Linked DNA regions of Ovis aries. The protein of the gene in region 2 purifies or fractionates together with the protein of the main gene of each other region. This does not show direct contact. Links are inferred from orthologs where the notes say so. Each region holds a gene or a part of one and is shown on either strand. Other genes may lie near its edges. The genes, in order: CAPZB and WASHC3.

Region 1 (3,867 bases), on a different chromosome or scaffold from region 2:
TTTCTATCTTATGAGATTTATACAAGGACGTTCTTAGACTAAGAGTCTGTTTCTGCCCATAAAGTCCATCAGAGGTGATTTTAAAAGGCATGGCAGCTTATTCTTCTTTAAAATAGCTTTTTAAACATCTGACTACAGAATTACATGCTTATTGTAAAAATTATAGATACAACACCCAAACCAGAAAATTACCCAAGGAATAATCACGGCTCATCTTTTTAGAACCTATCTTTCTACCCTTTTTCCCTTCCATGTGCATACATGTTTCGCAAAAATGGGATCATATTGCATGCACATTTTTGTTACCTGCTTTTTTCCTATCTGAGAACACATCGTGAATGTATTACACGTTATTAAAGAGTCTCCTGTAGTGTGATTTGTAATTCTGGCTTAGTATCTATCGTATGGATAAATAGTGATTCTTTTAAAGCAATCCCCTCGTGTTGTATCGTTTGATTTTTTCCATTCTTCCACCACTATTAGCAATGAACACCTTTGTATGAATTTCTCTGCTCACATTCCTAATGATTTTCTCAGAACCCATGAATAGACATTTGCTTCACAGAAAGAGCACCCTGTCAAGGCTTTTCCTACCCATTGCCAAGTTTTCTATTAGAAAAGTCTTCTAAATTCACACTCCCACCAACAGCGTATGAGAATGCTATAATAAGGGCTGTTGGCCAAGATGATGATTATGAAAAAAAATAAATAATCAAGAAGATAAGTATTTGCTAAAGGCTGTCCCCGCGCCAGCTGTGTTTATTTGTTGAACGCTGTAGTCTTGTTCCTTGGAGCAAGCACTGAAGGTTCTTTAGACTTTCCGTTTATTTAGTGCCTCTTTCAGCACTCTGAGACTTTGACCCGAGTTTTATCTGAAGGAAAGATTTCTGGTAAATATAGTTTCCAGTTTGGAAACTCAGCCCAAGTACTTCCATCGCCCACCCCAGTGTGGACCACCTCTGTGGTTTTAACTGCTGGGAATCTGTCAGAAAGTACTGCTGTTGACTTGGAGCGGAGAACTGAAGTGCTTAGAAGAAATGAAAGAGTAGATCTGGGGTGAAAAAGTCATGTTTCAAGTTACAAAGGGAAACCAATAACCACCCAAGGGGTTGGCGTTTCACTTGACCCGCTCTGATATCACTATGGTGATGTTCTCCATAAACAGTTGCATAAGAGCAAGATGAAAAAGAACGAGCAAGTTCCATCCAGGAGGTCTGGAGTTATTTTAGGGATCAAGGCAGTGTCATCTGGGGTAAATATGGAATGCAACGTCTGTTCTTTTAATAATCATCCCCTTCTTTTGTGAGGCTGAAGGAAGGCCTGGGACATCAGACATTTGGGCCGAAAGCAGCGCTGACCTAGTGCCTTCAGGGCTCGGGAGAAAACTCGGCCAAAGGAATGGAAATAACGGTTCATAACAGATGCTGGAACGATTCCTCTCACACCCCTGGCCTCTGAGACTCTCCTGAGCCTGATGTGGAGTCCAAGGGTGGAACAAGGGTGATGTTCTCGGGATGGGCTGGCCCGGTAGAGAGGCAGAGAGGGGGTCCCCAGGGAGCTGAGCTTAGCTGTCTGCCCCGACCTTGATTCCTGGGCCAGAGGGGGTGGAGGACACAGCCTGTCTCTGGGGCATCACCATCTGCTGTGGATGACATCGGCCACTCCCACCCTCATGGTCTTCTCTTTGAACCCCTGACTCAGCGAGCCTCAGTCCAAAAAGCAGAACTAGCTATTTTTGCATCAAAAAAAAAAAAGAAAAAAGTCAGGCAATACACTTGCTGAACTCCTTCCTGACCCTGAAACTCTTACTCTTTGCACTTAACCCCTTGTTCTTCCCTTGTTCTCTTTGCTCTCTTCTCAGCTGTTAGATTGCGAGGTGGTGTCACTATTGGTAAAGAACCCGCCTGCCAATGCAGGAGACTTAAGAGACCTGGGTTCAATTCCTGGGTCGGGAAGATCCCCCTGGAGAAGGAAATGGCAACCCACTCCAGTGTTCTTGCCAGGAGAATCCCCATGGACAGAGGAGCCTGGTGGGTTATGATGGAGTTGCAGAGTCAGACATGACTGAAGCGACTTAGCATGCATGTACTCGTATTTGGGGGGCTTCCGTCGGGGCTCAGCGGGTAAAGAACCTGCCTGCCAATGCAGGAGACATGGGTTTTGATCCCTGGATCTGGAAGATTCGCTGGAGAAGGAAATGGAACCCACTCCAGTATTCTTGCCTCGGGAAATCCCATGGACAGAGAAATCTGATGGGCTACAGTCCATGGGGTTGCAAAAGAGTCCGTCCTGACCTACTGGCTAAACACCGCGGCCACCACCCTCATCCTTAGCGAAGATCTTCAGAGGAAAGGGCTGTTCTGTGGTCGTGGAGGCTGGCACACAAAAGGTTCTCCCTAAGAGTCAGCTGATGGCACGTGAATCCAAAACCCCGTGCCTACCCTGATGTGGAGGTTTCTGAAATGATGGCTGTTTGTTTATTCACTTGTTCAACCAATGTTCATTCAGCACCTCCTGAGAAGCCGAACTTCTGCTGGGGACCGGCGCTACAGGGACCAAAAAGACCCCAGGGCTCTGTTCTTATGGAGATGATGCTCTTGTAGACCTCAGTATCTGAGTGGTGAACACAGCTGTCATCACAGAGCCTTCTCTGGCCATTGGATATAAAATCCCCCTTCCCTGTTTTATTCTGCTTCCCAGAACTTAGCATCACAAGGCATAATATATACTTGTTTGTGTGGAGTGGGTTTTTTTTTGGCTGTGCCATGGAGCTGGTGGGAGCTCCCTGAACAGGGATGGAACCCTGCCCCCTCCCGACCACCAGACCAGCCGGGAAGTCCCTACTTGTCTGTTTTGGTCAGCCTTGCACACAAAAAGGAGTGCTCTTTGAGGGCCATTTGTCCATGGCGTTCACTGCTGAGTCCCTATAACGATGGCTAGCACGCAGTAGGCACTCGACATATATATTTCAAATCAGTTTGTTCAATGTACTCTGCAACTCTCTAGAAGACCTTTGCAGCAAAACTCTCCAGGGAGCGCGTTAAGAAGAGCCCCAGGACTTCCCTGGCGGTCTGGTGGTTAAGATTCTGTGCTTTCAAAGCAGGGGGCGTAGGTTCAACTTCCCTCAGTCAGTCGGGAAAAGAAGATCCCACGTGCTGCCCAGCATGGCCAAAAAAAAAAAAAGAAAGAACTCCAGAGGGTCAGCACGACAGATTACGACCATCCAGAGCTTTACGGAGTGCAAAGCAGGGAGGTGCGCTGGGCTGAGCACGAACCCTCATCTCTCAGGGGTCTGGTTTACTCCTTGTAAAGTGGACATAACGTTGCCGGCCTTCGGGGACCATTTGTCCACTGGAAAAGGGAATGGGTGTGAACCGCCCCGCCCCACCCCCCGGGACCTGGCGCTTCACGCTTGAAGGCTGAGCACTGCGGTTTCTTTATTACTGGAGCTTCTCAATTTCATGTGGACTTTATTACTATCATCCCTGTTTTAACCCACAAGGAAAACCCAGCTCACAGGGTCTTAGGAGTTTGCTCACACAGGCTCAGGCAGGACCAGAGCACCCCAGAGGGACAGAACCCCGCGCACAGCGCCTCGCCTGTGGCCGCAGGGCAGCCGGCTCTGGCAGCGTCGCCTCCTGCGCGCCCTCCTCTCTGCTCCTCCGCCTCCGTTTGCCATTCCTCGTTCTCAGTGCGCCACCCCACCCACCGCTGTGGGAAAAGGAGAGCTGTGGAGAGAAGCAAGCCAAAGGGGAAGTTTGTGCAGTTGGTTAGGAAGCGAAAGTCGCTCAGTCGTGTCCGATTCTTTGCAACCCCGTGGACTATGCAGTCCATGGAATTCTCCAGGCCAGAATCCTGGAGTGGGTA
Region 2 (3,824 bases):
ATTGATAAAACCTTGTAAAGTTAAAACTCCTCTAAACATTTGAATTTATTTTTGTATATTATATATATTCCAGTGATCATCACAATGGAATTTGTTATATTAATTAAATGGATGTTAAATTTTCTAATACCTAATTGTTAAGTAAAGCGAAGTGAAGCAAAAGTCATTCAGTCATGTCTGACTCTTTGTAACCCCATAGACCTCTCTAGGCCAGAGAAGTCCATGGAAATCTCTAGGCCAGAATTCTGGAGTGGGTAGCCTTTCCCATCTCCAGGAGATCTTCCCAACCCAGGAATCAAACTGGGGTCTCCTGCACTGCAGGTGGATTCTTTACAACTGAGCTATCAGGGAAGGCCTAACTGTTAAGTAAACAGTCATCTAATTCATCCACCGAATATACAATATTTCTAAATTATAGCTCCTCCCACACAGAGCCTTGGACCACATGTGCTCAGTTGCTCAGTTGTGGCCGACTTTTTGTGATCCCATGGACTATAGCCCGCCAGACTCCTCTGTCCATGAAATTTTCCATGCAAGAATATGGAGTGAGTTATGTTTTATGAATTCAACACAGGTGCTAGAGACAGTGCAGTGTAGGAGATAAGAGATAGGATTCTTGACACCAGATTGTTTGGGTAAAAATTCTAGTTCTTACATTTATTGTCTGACCTTCAACAAGTTAACCTCTGTGTATCTCATTTGATATACCTGTAAAGTATTAATAGAACTTATAAAAGTATTTACTTCATAGGGCTGTTGTGAGAATTAAATGAGTTAATTTATAAAAAGCACTTAACACACCACATATACAGTCAGAAACCTTTACATGGGAGGTATTACAATCACAGTCAACATCATAATGATCTAAAAGATATCCCATAAAAAGTACCTCCAGGTACAAATGCAAAATTCCATATACATAGGAAGTCTGTTTGTTTGGTATTACTTGTTAGACCACCATTTTTGATTATCTTATTTTGGATTTTAATACCTCACTGAGATATACTAGCAATTATTCTACAATGAAGAATTTTTATTTCTTGAAATAAAAAGTAATACACAATTTAAATTTTTACAGTGCATAAATGAACATTAAAACATAAGAGCCAAACATAGAGTGCAGGCCTTACAAGGACGCTGATTTGAACAAATCAACTCCCCAAACACACTCTTTGAGACAAGTGGTATTTCTTAGATTAGGACCTCTCAAATTTCAAGAGCCTTCAAATCACATACGGATCTTATTAAAATGAAAATTCTGACTCAGTGGGTCTGGGGTGGAACCTGAGATTCTGTATTTCTAACAAGTTCTCAGGTAGGTTGCTGGCCCATGGAGCAGAGTTTTGGTAACAAAGAGTTAGATATTATCAGGGAATTATTGCTCATTATATTGTATATGATGAAGGCATTGTGGTTATACACGAAAATGTCAGAACTTTTCATAGATGCTCAGGGAATTATACATGGGTGAAAAGATATGATGCCTGGAATTCACTTCAGTGACAAAAAAAGACAGATGAAGCAATGCAACAAAATCTCAACTGGTGAATCCAGGTAACGGGCACTTGGTTAGTCATTGAACTATTCTATTTTTATTCATGTGTGAAAATGTCATACTAAAACATTTAAAAGACACATTTCTTACAAGAACCAAGAAAAAAATTTCCAGAGGGAACTTGAAGAAAGTAGTTATAGTCAAGATTATTCCTAGTCCTGTATAGGTCAAATTTCTGTTTTATAGGCAAGAAAAATATTAACTTCAGGAAACTGTTCAGAATAATAAAATGAAAAGCTAATAACTTTTTTCAAACTGTATTTTTTATCTTAAAGTTTAAAATATTATTAATCAAGTGCTATATTTTTATTTAGCTTCTTTATTTGAACCTGCAGATTTGGTCTATCTGGTTCACCCAAGAAGAGGTGCTCATGCTTCCCGGAACTTAATTACATACCTGTGATTGCTCTGAAGTGGCTTCAGAATGTGTTCCATTTGTGATCCTAGTGACATTTACAGGAGATACTTCAAATGTGACATCATCTAGGCCCGGGATAGATGATAACTGAGAGGAGAAAATTAATGTTGGTATATGAGGATAATATTAGATCTTTAAAGAGTAAGTTTCTAAGTATGTGTTGTGTTTCAAATAGTTTTCTTAAGTTTTAAAGCTATAGAAGTGGTTTCATAAAATCTCATCTTTGGTTGAAATTCTCCATGCCATAAACTACTTAAAAGTGAAAGGGATTGACAAATAAAATATTTTTGAAGAATTTTTCACTAATCTAATTTAGGTTGTCACCATTCTTTCTCAGGAATTATTATTTTTTTAATAAGGAATCCTGGTGTAAGGAATGAGAGCATGGGCTTTGGAGTCAGATTGCCAAGGTTTAAGTCACAACATATGTTGCTGCTGCTGCTGCTAAGTCGCTTCAGTCATGTCCGACTCTGTGCGACCCCATAGATGGCAGCCCACCAGGCTTCCCCATCCCTGAGATTCTCCAGGCAAGAACACTGGAGTGGATTGCCACTTCCTTCTCCAATGCATGAAAGTAAAAAGTGAAAGTGAAGTCGCTCAGTCGTGCCCGACTCTTGGCGACCCCATGGACTGCAGCCTACCAGGCTCCTCTGTCCATGGATTTTCCAGGCAAGAGTACTGGAGTGGGGTGCCACTGCCTTCTCCGACAACATATGTAACCCTGTGCAAATCTTCCTAGGCCTCAATTTTCTCACCTGTACAGTGGGGGATAAGAAAACTTACATCCCAAATTTGTAAAAAGATTTTGATTAAATATATTTTGTTCCCCTTCAAAATGTGCTCTGTAGCACATTTTAAGTTTGAATAATCTGGGAAATGAGAAAACTCTTGCCACATGTTAACATATGATGCAGCTTATTCTTTTCTTCTTTCTTTAGTAATATCACTTTATGTTACTACAATGTGTTAGTTTCCATACATAAAAAATGAGCATGATGTCAGTGGTTAAGCATTTTAGGTTGGATTTCCAAGATCCATGCAAACATTCTTTTCTGATTTCATTCTGGTATCAGTGACACACATCTGTCAAATGTTTGGCTAACTTTAAGGAATTAACTCTATGGTCATGGAAATAATTAAGGTTAACCTGTCCACATGGCAACTTAACTTGTGACCGTGGACTCTAACTTAAGAATTCCACAAACATTAAAATAATATACATATTCATAATAAAGAATAATGAAAAAAACAATGGCAATAAGATCTAAAGCAACAATATTCATTGAAAACTGTTGACTGATGACAGTATTTAGCACATTGGCTATGGCCCTAATAGTTTCAAGTGGGTATGGCTGCTAAGAAACTATTTTGAACATGTTCAAGGCCAAATATCCTAAATTACAAGCTAAAGAAATGTTCCGAGGGAAATACAGTAGCTGAAGACCACAGGAAGATGTAAAAGCATAAATCAGACATTCTGATCCCTATGCTAGAAGATATTAGTAATTTCACTTCCTTCAGTTCAGTTCAGTCACTCAGTCGTGTCCAACTCTTGGCAAGCCCATGGATTATAAATAGTCAATAAATATTTTTTCAGGTCAGTTTTTTTTGATAACAGAACAAAGTCACAAAAATATATTAGCATCTCCATTATTTTATATACAAGAAAAGCACACAAAACCTGCAAGCTTTCAAACTGAAACAACCTTCTATTTTTGCTTTTATATGACAGTTACCTTTTGTGATATCTGACATCAGAACTGGTACTACTCACTAGCATTTAATATATTTACAAATGGAAAATAGCTGAGATTTTCTCCAAATTTTGTTCTGGAGACATGTAAAGTTTTA

What was found.
Region 1: the proteins of WASHC3 (region 2) and CAPZB purify together in Homo sapiens (co-immunoprecipitation; 4 studies listed by BioGRID and IntAct, with this or other methods). This does not show direct contact. The link is inferred for Ovis aries from reciprocal best matches to the Homo sapiens genes WASHC3 and CAPZB.

What each region holds. Positions count from the first base shown.
Region 1 is NC_056055.1:246,877,167-246,881,033, reverse strand, and holds the start of CAPZB (F-actin-capping protein subunit beta), read right to left. Parts: upstream 2,875-3,867; 5' UTR 1-2,874. UniProt on the Homo sapiens protein: F-actin-capping proteins bind in a Ca(2+)-independent manner to the fast growing ends of actin filaments (barbed end) thereby blocking the exchange of subunits at these ends.
Region 2 is NC_056056.1:171,453,432-171,457,255, forward strand, and holds part of WASHC3 (WASH complex subunit 3), read right to left. Parts: intron 2,061-3,824; coding exon 1,953-2,060; intron 1-1,952. UniProt on the Homo sapiens protein: Acts as a component of the WASH core complex that functions as a nucleation-promoting factor (NPF) at the surface of endosomes, where it recruits and activates the Arp2/3 complex to induce actin polymerization, playing a key role in the fission of tubules that serve as transport intermediates during endosome sorting.